Regions from separate parts of the Mus musculus genome. Here regions 1 and 3 are each reported to be linked to region 2. The links are microRNA targets in miRTarBase. Many come from high-throughput screens and were not tested one by one. Region 2 holds a microRNA gene; each other region holds the end of a gene's coding sequence.

Region 1 (5,341 bases), not on the chromosome of region 2:
AGTTTACACTGGGTTTTGGTGAAGCCATCTTCCAATCTGTCCCCCATGTAATTTGACTTTGGAATTCCTCATGCAGATGGTGGGAGCAGATTGCTTACCAGCAGCCTGTTGATAAGCATATGTAGCGTTTTGAGGTGGGATGTGCTGAGATGCATTCTCAGGGCTGAACTGTGGTTGTGCTTTCTCATCGTGTCCATTTGTAATAACAACGTCATTTTCTTGTGCCGTCTTTTCATTTTCTGTAAGATTGCTCTTGGTCTTCCATTTTATTCTTTGGAACTGTGGGATAAGCCTTTAGTTTTCTCTACTGAGTGACTCTTGACACTGAGATATTTGGGCTTCTTAACACTTTGCCTGTTTCCTCATACAGGTATCGAAGTGAGAAGGTGACAATCAGTTATGCAGAGTATATTGCTTCTCGACAGCACTGTTTCCAGAATGGCACTCTTCATGCCCCGCCCCTCTACAATCATTACTCCTGACACACGGCTACATGACCAGTCCCACCCCCCTGTGGCCACCAATGGCTATGACATCATTGGAGCAGATGCCTCCTCTTCCTGGTCCAGTTACTTCTATTACTGCACCATTTTATGATGCTAGCTTCCGTTGCCAAGTCTGCCTCCTGCTGACTGGAGGGTGTGGGGATACATTGAATGCAACAGAACATGAGGGGCCCAAGCCTTATATCAGCCTTTCCTCAATCTGGGGTTCTGTTGGATCAGGGCTCCCCAATAACCAGTGAGAATGGCTGTGTGGGTTCAGAAGACCGTTGTCTGGTGATTTCCCACAAGTATTGGCCACACACTGAAAACTGGAATTGACTGTGACCCATGGAGGCTTCTTCCCCAATCCCCCACAGCCCGCCACATCAATTAGCTGTACTCCCTGGCAGTCTGGGCAACGGAGACCAACAGGAACCACTTTTAGGTTGTTTTAAATTCCTTTTTTTAAACTTCCAGTTTATTGTGTACCAAGAGTTGATCCACAACCTCCATGCTTCAGAAGTGAACACCATGTTAGGGTTGAACATGGGCACCATGAGCCCCTGTGAGTCCTGGATAAGATTCTCAAACCAAGATCAGAAATCCTGTGATGACATTTCATCGTACAGTAAGCTGTGAAGGTTTTCATGCTTACCCGACTCTCAGTGGACATTCTGGTACTCTTCCTGCATTGAGTCTCCTGCTGTGAGCTCTGTGGCATAGCCTGCTGAGGAATGGAATGGAGATGCCTATAGAGGTCCCAATGTCATCGTCGTAAGCAGGTGTGAAAGGAGAGATCTCTTCCTCACCACCCGGCTACCTCAACTCTTTTCTGGTAGCAGTGCCTATGTAGCTGCATCTAGGTTCTCAGAAGCACAGACATGTAAACAGGTGGTTGGGTTGGGCTTTAGGACATACTGTCACAGGAGAGCTTCCAGGGTCTCTGAGCTGGTTTTCTTCACAGGCAAACATCCTGAGGGACCTTTAAGTAGGGGAGTTCTTTATTCTGATTTGCCTGCAGAAGTAGGAAGACTTGCTATATCAGTCCTCAGTAGGACTAGAACAATGCTGTGTAATAAAACAAGGTGAACCTTTAACTTGCCTACCATACTGGGACTCCTCACTTCACCAGTGCAAATGTCCAAACTGTTCGTGTTGCTCATTTAAACTCTTGACATTCCCGCTCCCATCTTTACTCATTCCAAAATAGCTGATAGCAAATTCTTTTCATTCATTTGGTGGCAAAACGTGTAGTACTAGGAAACTAGGGAGGTGCTTTGACAGCTCTGTCTCAAAGGCACTGACTGCTCAGGCAACTCAAAGGAAACGGCCGGCTGGAAGAAAGGCTCCTGAGGATGGCGCACTGGTTTTCAGCAACATTCATAGAGACTCGGGAGGCAGATGTGGCCTCAACCTGGTGAACATATGTTTTGATTTCTTTTTTTAGGATTGATGTGGTGATGGTGTGGCTTTCCAAAATGGGCAAATATTCAAGTCCTAGCTCATCAGTTTCTTGTGCCAGGAATGGAGGAAGGGAAGTAGATCTACTTCCATATGTGCTATTCTAGGCATCACTTCAAAGTTCTTGCGGTTTTCATTTGTTTTGTTTTGTTTTAAAACTGGGCAGAGAGGTTGTACCAGGAGTGATGACAGACCTGGAATGGATGAGGGAAGTGCTGATGACATTGGAATGCCCAGGATGCATGGCCCTTACTGCCAGGGTGGGTTCCTTCACATACCTAGGATGAAGGGGTCTCATGCTGCCTGCCGAGGGGAATGAAGGCTATGTTATTGACATGTGACAGCAGGTGCTCTCAGGTGCCATGGATTGATGCAGGGTGCTCAGCTCTGGACTGAGGTACCCACTTCCAATTTGTAAAACAGTATTGATACATAGGGCTACACTCATTACTGTTCAAGCGTTCTATGTTAAGAGTTGTTTAATTTCTAAAGATTTAAAGCAAAATGCAAAAAAAAAAAAAAAATGGTGCTAAACTTCACCCCTGAGCACTCAGTGAGACTGGTCATGCAAGCATCTACAGTGCCATGCTCCTCAAGCCTGTTTTTCTTGTAGAAATGTTGCCCTATCTTGTCTTTCCCAATGTATAGTGTGTGTTTTGTTTTATTGAGGGTGGGGTAGAATACTTGCCATTTAAGAAAATGACAGAAAGACCCAGAAAGGTGGGGTTGGGGAATCGGTAAACAAGAATCCAGCTAGCAAGGCCCAGCATCACACTGAAGTGGGCTCAGTGGTTTCAGAGTGAAGTCGCCTTACTCCTGCACATTCCCTCGTGCTCCCAATGCAGTTCTGCAGTGCAAATGCTCAAGTTCCTCCTGCCTTGTCAAGGAGACCTGGAAATCAGCAAGGAAAATTATTTGCCCCAAAAGACATGGGCTCTATTGGTGTCAGTCCTGACTTGAGCATAGGCATTCACAAGTTGAAGTACAGTCTTGGTCACCTCATGGGAACATGTGGCAGATAGCTCTCAGGAAAAAGCAATTGTGGATTGTCCACTTGGGGGCTTTGCATAGGGAGGTCAAGCTCTGAATTAGAACTGAGCTGCCTTCCATACGTTGACCAAAGCAGTGATAAGGGTGGCCAGTTAGTGGTAGTGGAAAGGGACCGTTTCCTGCCCTGGGTTTCCTTTAGCTATAGGCTGCAAGGTCCCCACTGCTCTCAGAGAGCCAGCTAAACTGCTGGCTTGGTTTGGAATTTGTTTCATCCCTAGCTGTGAGTGCCTTTTGGTCTGGAAAGTTGGCTTGTCTCATCATACCCACAGCTAGGACATATACTCTGTAATTATGAATTGTCCTTGTTTTCCTGAGCTAAAAGCGAATGTCTTTGATCATTAGAGTTTGTTAGTGTTGGGTTGTTTCCACTGTGAGGTTCTTAAAATGTTTTTGCTTCCTAATGTTAAAATAACTCATGTTAGAAACCCTGTACACATGAAAAAGGGTTTGTAGTTGAGACATTACGTATATTTTACTGTTTATAATAAATCATCTATACAAAAGTCTTGGGTGTTAATTTTAATATTTTGAGCAAAATCTGTTTTCCATGCTATGTTAACATCTACAATTTCACTAATAGTGTTACTTTCCATTGATTTCTGAAGCCTAGAAAACTGTTTTTGTGTGTTTTTTTTGTTTTGTTTTGTTTTGTTTGTTTCCCCGAAGAGATTGTATGGCCTTCACTGCAAAGACTTCAGACCAATTACTTGTATTACACTTGGTTGCCTCGTGGCTATATAACTTCTGAGTACACGTCATCAAGAGTCCTGAATGAAGTATTGTAGAGAATAAATCATAATGGACAAAAACTGTCTTCTGCCTCTGTGTGACCACCTGACTTGAGTTACTGGAAACAGATTTTCCATTATTTTGTTTGATGTCCTCATAAGAGATTTGTCTGCCTCTGCCTCACAACTGATGGGAATAAAGAGATGGGAAATAAACCCATCCCAGTGAGAGTACCTGTTAAAAGATTCCTATGAGCTAGGTAGGATAGAGCCATCCTTCAATCCCAACATGGGAGGGCTACAGTGAGAGACTGTTTCTTAAAAAGCAGAATATCAAAAACTATAGGTGAGATGGCTCAGCCCATGAAGGATGTTGCCACCAAATGACCTTTTCACCTTGCAACACAATATAGTTGAAGGAGAACCACGCTGTCCTCTGCCTCTATATATGTGGTCTGGCACAGACACACAAAATAAGTGGTGTGATAAAACCTTAAAGATTCCTATCATTTGAGATTAGAGGTGCTTAAATATGTGGTATGAAGTTGTCCTTTATTCTCTGAGGTTAACGGTGCTAATTCTTGGTGAAAGTAGGGGTGATTAGATACTTTTAAAGCTCTTTCCAAACCTAGACATGGTAGCTCAGGTCTGTAACACCATGATTTGGGGGACAGGAAGATGGACAAGAGTTCAAAGCCAGGATGAACTGCAAAATGAAATCTTATGCCCCATCCCCATCCCTGCTCCCCCCCACCCCCCAAAAAAACGTTGATTAGTGGCACATGCCTGTAATCTCCGGCAGAATGACTGCTGTGAATTTGGCTATAGAGTAAAGCAATAGTCATCTACACTGGAGAAATGGCTCAATGGTTAAGAGCATTTCTTACTGAGGATCTGGATTTGGTTTTCAGCACCCACATAACCATCTGTAATTCTAGTTCCAGGGGATCTGACACACTCTTGTAGCTTTCTTAGAGACTGCACACAATATACTGATATACATGCAGGCAAACACCAGGACAGGTGTCTCATGCCTGTAAAAACCACCACTTAGAAGATGCACAGACAGGCAGAACTTTGAAAACTCAAGGCCAGCCTGGTTTACAAAATTGTTGGAGTGTCAGCTAGGGCTACAGAGTGAGAACCTATCTCAAAAACACAATTCCACTCCAGACTCCTGGCATGTTAAATGGAATTCAAACTCCAGGTTTATGATTGTATAGTAAGGGTTCTTAACTGTGGAGAGCCATGTCTTTAGCCCTAGCCTGTTGGAAGTTCTTTAGCCAAGGTCCAGTACACAATGCCAGGGCTGGATGGCTCTCTAGCCACCTGGATTGTCATAATGTTGTATATAAAGTGGGATTGTGGGAAAATGGCAAACCCTTTATCACAGTAGTCCTCAACCTTCCTAATGCTGTGACCCTGTAGTACAGTTCCTCCCAACTATAAGATTATTTTCAGTGCTACTTCATAACTAATTTTGCTGTTGTGTCTGTAGTGGCTATTCCTGATTGTCAACTTGACTATCTCTGGAGTGAATTACAAGGCTCACCTGTGATTCAGATCTTGAGGCTGGAAGACACAAGTTTCTGACCTGGATCTTGGCATGGAGCTCTT
Region 2 (5,341 bases):
TTCGTGCCATCGTTTTCTGGGGGCATTTTGCACTCCCCACTCCCCAAGATACAGTTCCACCCTCAGGGTATAGCCCAGCCCGAATTTGGAAACTGGATTTGTCCTTGACAGGTTCCTCCAGACGCTCCTGACTGCTCTGTGACAGAAGCCATCTGTTCCTGCCTCTGCCTGTGCCCCTGTCATCTTCCTCTGCTTGAAATTCACTCCCTCATTTTCTCTGGCCCTTCCAGCCCCACCCACCTTTGAAGGTGTTCCTCAAGTCCCACATGCCTCCCACTGTCTTCTAAAGTCACCCCTGTCTGTCCTTTAGGTCCAGTGTATTATAGTAGAAAAAGGCCTGTAGATCAAGACTCAAGTTGGCCACCAGTTCTTTGCAAGACTTAGCTGGGAGTTATTTCCTCTCCCTGCAACTGCATTTCCTCTTCTGAGCACCGAGGGAGGACTGGTTTGTTAGAAAGGGAAACCCTCCCCCCTTCTGCACCACCCCCACTCCGGGGGCCGCTTGGCATCCTCCCAACTAAGAGGCATGCTGTCTCCATCCGCCACATTCTAGGATATTCTGATTCGGAAATGCAAGTCTCCACTTTAGTCCACTGCTAAATGAGAGAGCCTGGAGCTCAGTGATTAAATTGATGGAGTTATTACTTTCTCCGCCCCAGAGGTGAGACTTCCCATTTCAGGAAGGGTCCCACCTTGGCTCTTCTCCCTTTTCATAATCCTTGCCTAGCAAGGACCAGAGTGAGGTTTATGTGGAAGGAGGTCGCTTTCATCATTCAGGGTAGAAGGAAGTTTTCTGTGAGATTGGGCCTGGCATGGAAGAAGGTCACAAGACCCTGCCTATTTCTGCTTTCAACCATACAGAGCAAGGGATTTGTGCATCCAAAGTCTCTCTGGCTCCGGTTCATCTTAACTCCCACTTCTCTCCTATCCTCCCTTCCCAGGAAAAATGTTTCTAACTAAATGTGGCAGAGTCAAATGTTTATGAAAAACCCATTGCCAAGGATATGTCTGGCTGTGTGGTTGCTCTAAAGCAGACGGGTGGGGCGTGAGGCTCTGTGGGATGAATGATCTCCCAGTACCTTTGTGAATGACTGCATCTCTCCCACTGCACTAGGTCTGCTTGAGGGAATATACGGATTTTGCTACAGTGCTTTAGCTCTTGGGGGAGAGTTTTCCTGGAGTGTTTATAAATGGCTCAGAGTGGACTCTAGCTCCTCTTCTAATGTGTCAAATCTGAGAAACATTAATAAAGCCTTTAGGAGGGGATAGCAAGATGGCTCAGTGGGTAATGGAGCTTGCCCCTTAGCTAAGGGACCTGAGTTCAATCCCAGGAATCTACATGGTGGAAGGAGGAAACTGACTCCCACACGTCCTGTGATGTCCACAAGTGAGTCAGAGTGCACATAGCCCTCCACCTCACATACCCACAAATGCCAATAAAATGGCACAACAGTAACAAAATCCCAAGAAACCAAAAATACTCCTGAGAGGAACCAGTCAAACCATGGTTGTACTAAGTCCCCAGATATAGTTCCATCTCTCTTACTAAGAAAGAAGAGGGAAAGCTGAACTGGGAGGTCTCCTGTACTCAAAGGAACATCCAGGGATTTAGATGGATGGACAGTAGATGGGGAACTACAGCCAGTTGCTGGCATCTGTCATTCATGAGTGGGCCTTCTGGAAGGTCTTTCCCTGGCTCAGGCATTTCCCAAACTAGCCAGTGTGTCTTGAGGCCAGGAGCAATCATCCAAGTGCCACCTTCCTGAATTGCTCCTGGGAGAAAATAAGCCCCTTTCAACTCTCTCTGTGTTTAGAGTGTTTGATTAGATAAGAGCCATCGGTCTGCTTAGCAGTCACTGGTATTACTCTGTGTGGACCCAGAGGTTTGAGAGAGGCTCTCACTACAGAGTGAGAGCAAACACCCTCCCCCAGCTCCTGGAGCTCTGATTACAAGGCTTGAGCTACCACACCTGGCCGTTACAGTTGTGTTTTTATTTTATTTCTTTCTTTTAGTGTGTGATGTTTGTGTGTGTAAATGTGTTTTTATACTTGGACATGTGTGTGAATGCATAGAGGCCAGGAGTCAACCTCAGATATCATTCCGCAAGAGATCCCCACCTTGGTTTTTTGAGACAAGGTCTCTCACTGGGACCTGGGGCTCCCCAATTCAGTTAGATTCCTAAGGATCTACCTCCCGAAAACTCAAATATAATTATCAGTTTTTAAAAAGTGTATTTGAGTCTTTTGCGCACATGTACGTATGAAGGGCAGACCTTATGGTGGTCCTGTAGGCTTTTCCTAGACAAGTTGGAAAGTGTGGTCTAGGCCAACCACTGCCTGCATAGAAATCTTTCTCTATACATGGGTCAGGGTTTCACGATTAAAAAAAAAAAAAAATCAGTGTAAAGCCAAGTATGTGGCACTTGCCATTAATTCCAGCACTCTGGGAGGCAGAGGCAGGCAACTAGTTCTCTATGAGAGTGAGGCCAGCCTCACTATATACTGAGGCTATAGCCACAGTTAATTACATTAGGTGACCTTGTTTCAAGTCCCACCCCACCCTCCAAAATCAATGTAGACTCTAGTACTAAAATAAAATAAGTTTATTCTTTTGCTATAAAAGAAAAACATTTTGTTTACACAATAATTGGTAAAAAAAAACAATAAAAATATAAAGACAACAATAAACATCACCTGTAATACCAGAGACATAAGTTCTGTTCAAGTTTTGTCATGTTTCTTCCTAGTCTTCCCCCCATATATTGATACAAAATTATGCATGCAAAATGTTCCCAATACGCTTATGTTATGTATTCAGGAACATACTGCAAAAATAATTCTGTATCTGATTCCTATTATAAAAACAAACCATAAACAACTATGGTTAGACTTGCAGCTTCTTTCTTCCAACCTTTTGCCTGTGTATTGACACAAAGCTATTTATGCAAAATGTTCCCAATATAATTATAGCACATATTAGGAACACATCGCAAAAACAGCTCAGTATCTCTCTTTGGTCACTGGTGGTGCTACAGCTTGGAGGTGACTGTCCATATGATGGATGCAGAACCATGAATGCAAAGCATCCCCAATATACTCATAGTACATATTAGGAACACATCGCAAAAATAGTTCAGCATCTTGGTTTGCCTTTCTCCTTCCTCTATCATTCAACCACAGCATCAGTCCCCAGCATATTTGTTCAATAACATTAAAGCACAACTCAGGATAACTATAATATTTTGATCTGTTCTCTTAGCCTTATATCTGTATATTGATCCCATGTATGTAAAATTAAAACGGAGAAGAAAATATTTTGCATGTTTATCATTAAACGCTTTTTATTAGTGTTTGTGGCACATCTTTATGTCACAAAAATTATTTTCAGAAATATCAATCTTAATGATAGCATCCTATCACATTGTCTTAGAAGAGCATATTTTATTTATGCAACCCTTTACTATTAATAAGTCATTTTATCCTCAAAATGACTGAAGTGAAGGGAGGTGGTAACCCCAGTGACATAGATGGTGAGGCAAATGAGCCACAGATGCAGATTCCTCCTGGCAGGCCTAGAGAGTGATTTAAAGCCAGCATGAGCAAGTTAGTGAGGCCTAGTCTCAAAAAAAAAAAAAAAAAAAAGAATTGCAAGCAGGTATGATGGCATACACTTATAATGCCAGCCCTTGGGAGGGGGAATTAGGAGGGGAAGGAATTCAACATGAGCCTCTGCTACACAAGTTTGAGTCTGGGTAACATAAGATCTTGCCTCAAAAATAAATAAATAAATAAATAAATAGTAATAAACATCCTGATGTTTTTTCATTTTCCGTGACTTTCCGTGGCTTGTATATTTATCTTCATGGCTATTTATATGACTCCACATTTTTAAGGTAACCTGTTTTTCTAAAGCTTACAGCTAATGTTTTTCTTGTTTGAGGAAAAACATAGTTTTAATATTTTAGCCTATATATAAAACCATATGTCCTGTCTAGGCTTCAGTGGACTGAATAGAAATGCAAATTAATAAAACCCTTCTCATTCTATAAAAACACAACCCATACCCTCCCCCACTCCATGGCAACCCCTTTCCTCCTTGCCTAGGGCTCAGTCCTCTCCTGACCTCTCATCTCTGTAATACTCACCCCACCAATTCTTAGGAAGAGGAGTGGCTCCCAGACCTTTCAGTTATCAATCTGTCACAAGGGCACAGTGGTATCTCGTGACATGATGATCCCCGAGACGTCTGAGATCCCTGCATGTGTAACCTCAAATTTCTGGATCTCCCAGTACCCTTAAAGACCTTTTAGCGAGTAGCATTTCACAATGGGACACAAATCAAAGCACAACAAAACAAAGAAACAGCAAAACTGTGAAGATGGGGAAAAAAAAACAAAACAAATAAGCAGCTAACCAACCTACTACAAATTCTGTTTTTAAAAAGTCTCTTTGTTTTGCAGTTTCTTTCCAGTTTCTACTCTACTTTCAGCCACCAGAGTTAGTGTAATTCTGTGGCCTTGATTTTTAAAAGCTTGTTATCTTAAGAATGTTTCTAAGTTTCTAGGTAGTTTTTATGATTATTCACAATGACTAAAAACGTTCTTTTGAGGATGCCACTAAATTAATCTCTATGGTTAGTTCATATTTGCTCCCTTAATTTACTTGAGTCTATAGAAAGGATCAAAGCTTTAAAGTGAATTCACTTTACAATTTTTAAGCTTGTACACATTGAATCATGCATGGGTAGGTGACTTACAGTCATTACTTAATCATGAAGTCAATCTTGAGCCTCAGTTAGGAAGTGTCCAGCAGTTAGACTCTCACTCGTCCTTCTTAGGACTAGACAGTTTCAACTAGACCTTTTCTAACCAAACACACTAGTTCAGCTCCATTTTCTGTCCTAATCACTATGGTGTAAGCTTCTGATGGCCAGGCAGGAATGTTACCTGGCACAGCATGAAGTCTGCATGATGCAGTTTCCCAGGTTTCATCTTCAGAATCCTCAGGTCTCTCGAAACTTTGTCTGCCTTACTTATCTCTCAAAGTTGTAAACAACAAATCTATGAAAGCAGTTGGGGCCGTAAGTGAACAGAGGAAATGAAGGCAAGTGCTGAGATGAGGATTGTAAAGATTTGGTTTCTAGGGCACAAACATTCTGCCTTCACTCTGCAGAGTGGAGGTGGGGGAGGGGTAGCAAAAGACCCGAAGGAAGGAGTCAGGCTGCAAAGCAAGCAGTATTCCCAGCCCCCAACAATGCCCCCGACTTGGAGCTGGGGAGGGGAGCGGGAGGGGGGGAGTGCGGCGGAGGGGGCGGGAGGGGGGCACGCTTTTCAATTTTCAC
Region 3 (5,341 bases), not on the chromosome of region 2:
TGCACACCTTTAATCCCAGCACTCAGAAGGCAGAGGTAGGTGGATCTCTTGAGTTCAAAGTCCAGTCTGGTCTCCAGTTCCAGGACAGCAAGGGCTACACAGAGAAACCCTGTCTCAAAAAAAACCAAAGTCCAAACCAACCAAACAAAACATGAAACAAAAACCTTGTATCTTCATAAAGCACACCAGTACATAAAGATGAACACAGTCTTTGGATTCTTAATTTTCTACTTCTTAATTCTTTTTTTCTTTCTTTTTTTTCTTTTTAAAGATTACTTAATTTATGTTATGTAAGTACACTGTAGCTGTCTTCAGACAACCCAGAAGAGGGCATCAGATCTCATTATGAATGGTTGTGAGCCAAGATGTGGTTGCTGGGATTTGAACTCAGGACCTTTGGAAGAGCAGTCAGTGTTCTTCACCGCTGAACCATCTCTCCAGCCCTACTTCTTAATTCTTAATTGAGCTAAAAGATAACTGCTTGCTTAAGGGGATACTGGTAATGCTCTTGAGTGGTTGTGACCGTTGACTAAGTGAAACAACTCTCAGTGATGCTACCAAGGCATTCTGAGATTTGAAATAATCCTCCTGCCTCAACCTCAAGAGCAGATATCTGGGACTACAAGTACACATTATTATGCTGACAAAATATATATTTTTAAAGGAGGCATTAGCTGGTTTACTGAGATCAAATTTATTTGATGACAAGGGTCACATAAGTTCCTTCTAACCTGTACTCTGAAAGAGCTGACAATAAGCAGAATGCCAAGAGTTCTACTTTCTTTAAGTAAGGTCCCTGACCACAGGGAAAGATAAAGGTTCTTAAGTGATTTGCATAGCATACAAATCTGGAGTGAATTCAAAACCTTGTTGACTTTCTGTATAATGGGGGTGGGTGTCAACTTTCAGTAGCATAAATTCTTGTTTTATGTGGTTCTAAGCCAGCTTGTGAAACATCAAACTGATCAAGCCTGGTATGTGCTTCAGACACAAATAAAACACATGATTTGTAGCAAACTGGTGAAATTCCCTTGCGCCTCCTGTGACACAGGCCATTTTAACAGTCCTGAACTTACTCTGACTCCCATAGGCAGAGGTTTCTCCCACTGCAGAGGTTGCTCCCACATTCAGTATACCTTACAGCACTGCCTGGGACTCCTCTTACTACCTATGTGCCTCTGGTCTTAGTCACTGGCTGGTTTACTCATAAAATGGGGACAGTTGTGGTTAGATGAGGGTTACCAAGATAACACATGTAGCATGCTTAACTCACAAGTAAAATAACTGTAGCAGTTTTCTAGGGATTCAGCTCATCAAACAGGGCAGAAACTGCAGGTGGTTATCCTGTCTTTATCCTGTACTGTTGCCTTCAGGATACAACATTGCTCTTTGTGTTCCTTGGGATTTGCAGCAGGTAGATGCAAATTAAGCCTGTTTGAAGATGAGAAATAGCACGCGCTCTCTCTCATTTGTGTTCCTAGATTTTGTAGTCACATAGAATCATATATGTGTATAAAAATGAAACAACTGTCTAGGGGAACAAACGGCCTTAATAGAGGAAACAGGGGTGTACTGCTCAATAAACAGTATATACTTGTATAAACCACACAAGGTAATTTCCTGGCACATACAAGGCAAATAAACTCCTAAGTATGCATTTTTAACATAATCATTTTAAGTTTCAGCAGGCATAATGGCAGGCATACTCCTTTCTGTTATTTTGGAGGCTGGAGCAAAAGTGTCTTACATGCTTGAAGCCTCCATGAGATACAGTTAGTACAAGGTCAGCATGGGCAACTTCAGGCCCTATAACAAAACAAAAATTACAAGAGAGGCCAGGGAAGGAAGGAGTGGTGTGTACCTGTGACACCAGTGCTTGGAAATTGCGGGGAAGATGGATTAGGAGTTCAAGACCAACCTGGGTTACATGAAACCCTCGTCTTAGAAATGGTGGTGGGTAGGGCAGGGAACAGCTACTGGTGTATTATTTCCAAGGGCCTGGCTCAGGCTTCAACCAGAGCAGTTCTCAACCTGTGCAGGGACATCCTGTGTGTCAGATATTTACGATTCCTATCAGTCGCAAAATTACAATTATGAAGCAGCAACAAAATAATTTTCTGGTGGGGGGTCACCACAGCATGAGGAACTGCATTAAAGCGTTGCAGCATTAAGAACCACTCCTTTACCACAACAAAAACCCTGAGGGTGGGGTAAGAGCCCGTTTCTAACATGTGTTGGTAATTCATATCGATATCCATCCTGCTTCCTTTTCAGTACATAGCATCTGGCTAACACCAACCCCAGGGAGGTGAGGATGGGCCAGGTGGGGCATTTTGATAGGTTTGCTGGAAGACTTCATCACATAGGCCTGGGAGGCACAGTCTCCGAACTCCCCGCTGTCAGGCGCTACTGGCTCCACTCCTGCCTCTCCGGGGCTACCCTTTGACAGACAAGAAGCCACTTCTCTTAAGCCCTTCCTTGCTTTAAATCGAGGATTAGTACCATCTTTATCTGTGAAGAGTTTGCTGAGCCATGAACTGTCCACATGGCGCACTTCAGGTCCTTTCAGACCCTCCCCAGCCCTCCATTGGAAAGGCTACACTGTTTCCATTACAGAGAAAAAGTGAGCGATTTGGTTGAGAACTGGAGAATTCAGTTATTGGCAGAATTCAGTGGTAACAGCTTGGTTTTCACTTATCTGTGGCTCCTTTTACATACTGGAAAACAAAAACATGCAGGGGTGTTTTGATAATTAAAATACATTGTAAAAGTCCTGCATGGAGAGGTAGATGATTAATAAAGACTTGGGCCAAGCAAGCTCTAAAGAGATCCGGGGCTTGGTTTCCTACATTGATTTAACAGCTTCCTGACTTATGTGAAGATGAACACAATATAATAGCCACATACTTTCAGTATAAGTTTTTATTAAAAAGTGCATTTTGATTAATTTATGATTTAGGTAAGTTGTAAGATATCAGTATACTCTCTGGAATAATAACTTTACAAAGATTTAAAACAAACAAAAATTTAAAAGCCTTTTTATTTCCTTCACCATTATTGTTTTACAATACAAATATCACCTTGTGAGTACACACACACACACACACACACACACACACACACTCACTCATACATGAACACGCACACACACTTGTGCATGTGCACACACACAAAAAAACCTACAGAAGGTAATCCTGCTGCACATAAAATACAGAATGGATATTATATTTATATTTATATATATATACTTCTTCGCTCTTAGAAAACTATTTTGTTCTCCACGTTGGCAAGTATAGAGTAGAATACTTCCCCAAACATATGTATGTCAGGAGGAAAACTCAGAATTACATGCAGTTTCTGCACAAATATATTTTAAAGAAATAGATCTTTTTGTTGTTGTTCACCAACAAAACTGTCATGAGAGTATGGATAACTAGTTTATAGCTTTCAAGTTTTAGGTAAGTGATCATTTTCGAAACTCTCTTTAAAAAAAGATATTCATGGCTGTTTTTATTGAGTAGTTAAAACCAAACTACCAAACAGATGGCATAATCTCAGCGGCACCTGGCAGTGCGGCCTGCTCACAATATGTGAATGGGTGCGTACTCTAATTCACACCCTCTATTCTTCAGTTCAAAACAATTTTAAAACCACTAGCAGTCTTCTGATTTAATTTAGCTATAAATGTAAAATTTAGTAGTGTATACATACATTTATATTTTCATGGAATAAATAAAAACATTTAAGATTGCCTACCAACCGACCATACAATCAAGACAAGAAAGGCACTAGAAACATAGACAAATTTCTCTCCCAAGAAGCACTTTTAAATGTTAACTCTCTTTTCTGTGACATGTAAAAATCTTTAAATTTGGTTTTCATAACATCATTTTGAAAAATAAAGTTAGGAAATACTTAGAAAAATCACTTTATAACAGATTTTTTTTTTTGCACTTTTTGATACACCGTCTCTGCTGACTGTATAAAACCCCAGGCGAGCAAACCTCTCTGGACCTATCGTCTTCAGCCGAGCATCAGTGCAATAGGCAGAGAGATTCTAAATCAACTCCCATGCAGACACTTAGGACCCTTCATAGAGACATTTACTAGAAAATGGCTTACAGCCCTGTCTTTGGGGCAAGAGATATGAAAAGTATGTTTTCCCAAGAAAATAACACACTTTATTTCCAGATATGGCTGGAAAGGCCGGAGCTTAGGATACAGAAGCACACGGTGGTGCGGCTGAATGACACAGAGGGACACGGTGGCTGCCTGTTATAGAAGCCCCAAGCTTAACAACAGGAAATGTCTACAGTGCATGATGTGGGAACTTTTCTTTATTGTTGTCCAACGCGGGTCCTTTGGAGAGAAAAAAAAAGATCACAGTGCTGAGCAGGTAACGCAATAGGTTAAGTCAAGGTAACTTGAGAGATAGCAGGGGGAGGTGGTTACTTTATGGCATCTTCTGTCATGGAGTTCTTAGCACTTCGGACTGTTCTTCATTCCCTAGTCGGCAGAGCTGTTATGTGTCGTTTACCAGCCGGCTATATTTAACTTGCCTACTAAGGTGGACTACCGGCCAGGGGAAGGGCCAATGGTAAGATCGAGGTACAATTCCTTGGACATTCTTTTCAAAGTACTGAAATGGCCTGTACCACCACACCCTGGCCAGGAGGTTCATCTGGGAGGCTTCCTTAAGCACCTAGGAAAGCAAAGAACATACACATTTGTTTGTTTGTTTTTCAATCTTACTGTCTTCCCTTTAAAATATTTCCCATGTTAAAATTCAAAGGATCCCAGACTTGCTCCACACCCACCCACACAGCCGGGCTTCACTCTGAGTTCACCACACTATACCCTGGACACGTCAGATTCCAGGAGAGCAAGGGAAACTGAGACGCCCTCAATTTGTACCTACTAAATATCTCAGTCAGCCCTTTCTTCACTCTCCTTGGATCTTAACTTCCTGTGCTCCTATATAATAAATGTATATTTATAAATGTTATAATAATATAACATATATAAATATAATAGATAAAATATATTTAATACCTTAGTTAAACGTAACTATGAAACTAGTGATGGGCCCATCACAACCAAAGGTTAGGAATGCACCGTAAGTGCGGATACCATCTTGGAGATTATTTTTTTCACAGATAGTAAGCACATACGTTTCAGAAGAAAGTGGTATCTGTGTCAATTACATCAGCACTTTACACACTGGCTCCGCAGAGGAATGGTGCTATAAAAGCCAGCACCACCTCAGGTGGTTGTTCCGAAGAAAGAGAAACTGAAAAAGACTCACAGCTTCCCCGTCTTTCCAACACCTCTTACTCCGGCC

The links. The annotated mature microRNA mmu-miR-450b-5p reads UUUUGCAGUAUGUUCCUGAAUA and lies in region 2 at 2,812-2,833, opposite strand. An mRNA with a match to its seed (bases 2 to 7 or 8) in the 3' UTR can be bound and repressed. Matches are read on the target gene's strand: a 7mer-m8 pairs with bases 2 to 8, a 7mer-A1 pairs with bases 2 to 7 and ends in A, and an 8mer does both.
Region 1: miRTarBase lists Ammecr1l as a target of mmu-miR-450b-5p. Seed matches in the 3' UTR shown: 7mer-A1 at 2,452-2,458 and 7mer-m8 at 3,680-3,686.
Region 3: miRTarBase lists Sgms1 as a target of mmu-miR-450b-5p. Seed matches in the 3' UTR shown: 7mer-A1 at 3,947-3,953.

What each region holds. Positions count from the first base shown.
Region 1 is chr18:31,780,274-31,785,614 of GRCm38, forward strand. Ammecr1l (AMME chromosomal region gene 1-like) reads left to right here. Exons shown (of 8, transcript NM_153515.4): 8 at 371-3,810. The coding sequence ends at 482. It overlaps Gm26533 (predicted gene, 26533), which reads right to left. Exons shown (of 3, transcript NR_165792.1): 2 at 5,277-5,341; 3 at 961-2,249. Among named protein-coding and RNA genes, the nearest start is that of Gm26533, 6.1 kb to the right of the region's middle.
Region 2 is chrX:53,045,233-53,050,573 of GRCm38, forward strand. It overlaps Mir450b (microRNA 450b), which reads right to left and starts at 2,846; the gene lies at 2,765-2,846. Mir450-1 (microRNA 450-1) reads right to left here and starts at 3,012; the gene lies at 2,922-3,012. It overlaps Mir450-2 (microRNA 450-2), which reads right to left and starts at 3,135; the gene lies at 3,067-3,135. Mir542 (microRNA 542) reads right to left here and starts at 4,255; the gene lies at 4,171-4,255.
Region 3 is chr19:32,119,823-32,125,163 of GRCm38, forward strand. It overlaps Sgms1 (sphingomyelin synthase 1), which reads right to left. Exons shown (of 10, transcript NM_144792.5): 10 at 2,905-4,702. The coding sequence ends at 4,523. Among named protein-coding and RNA genes, the nearest start is that of Asah2, 19 kb to the left of the region's middle.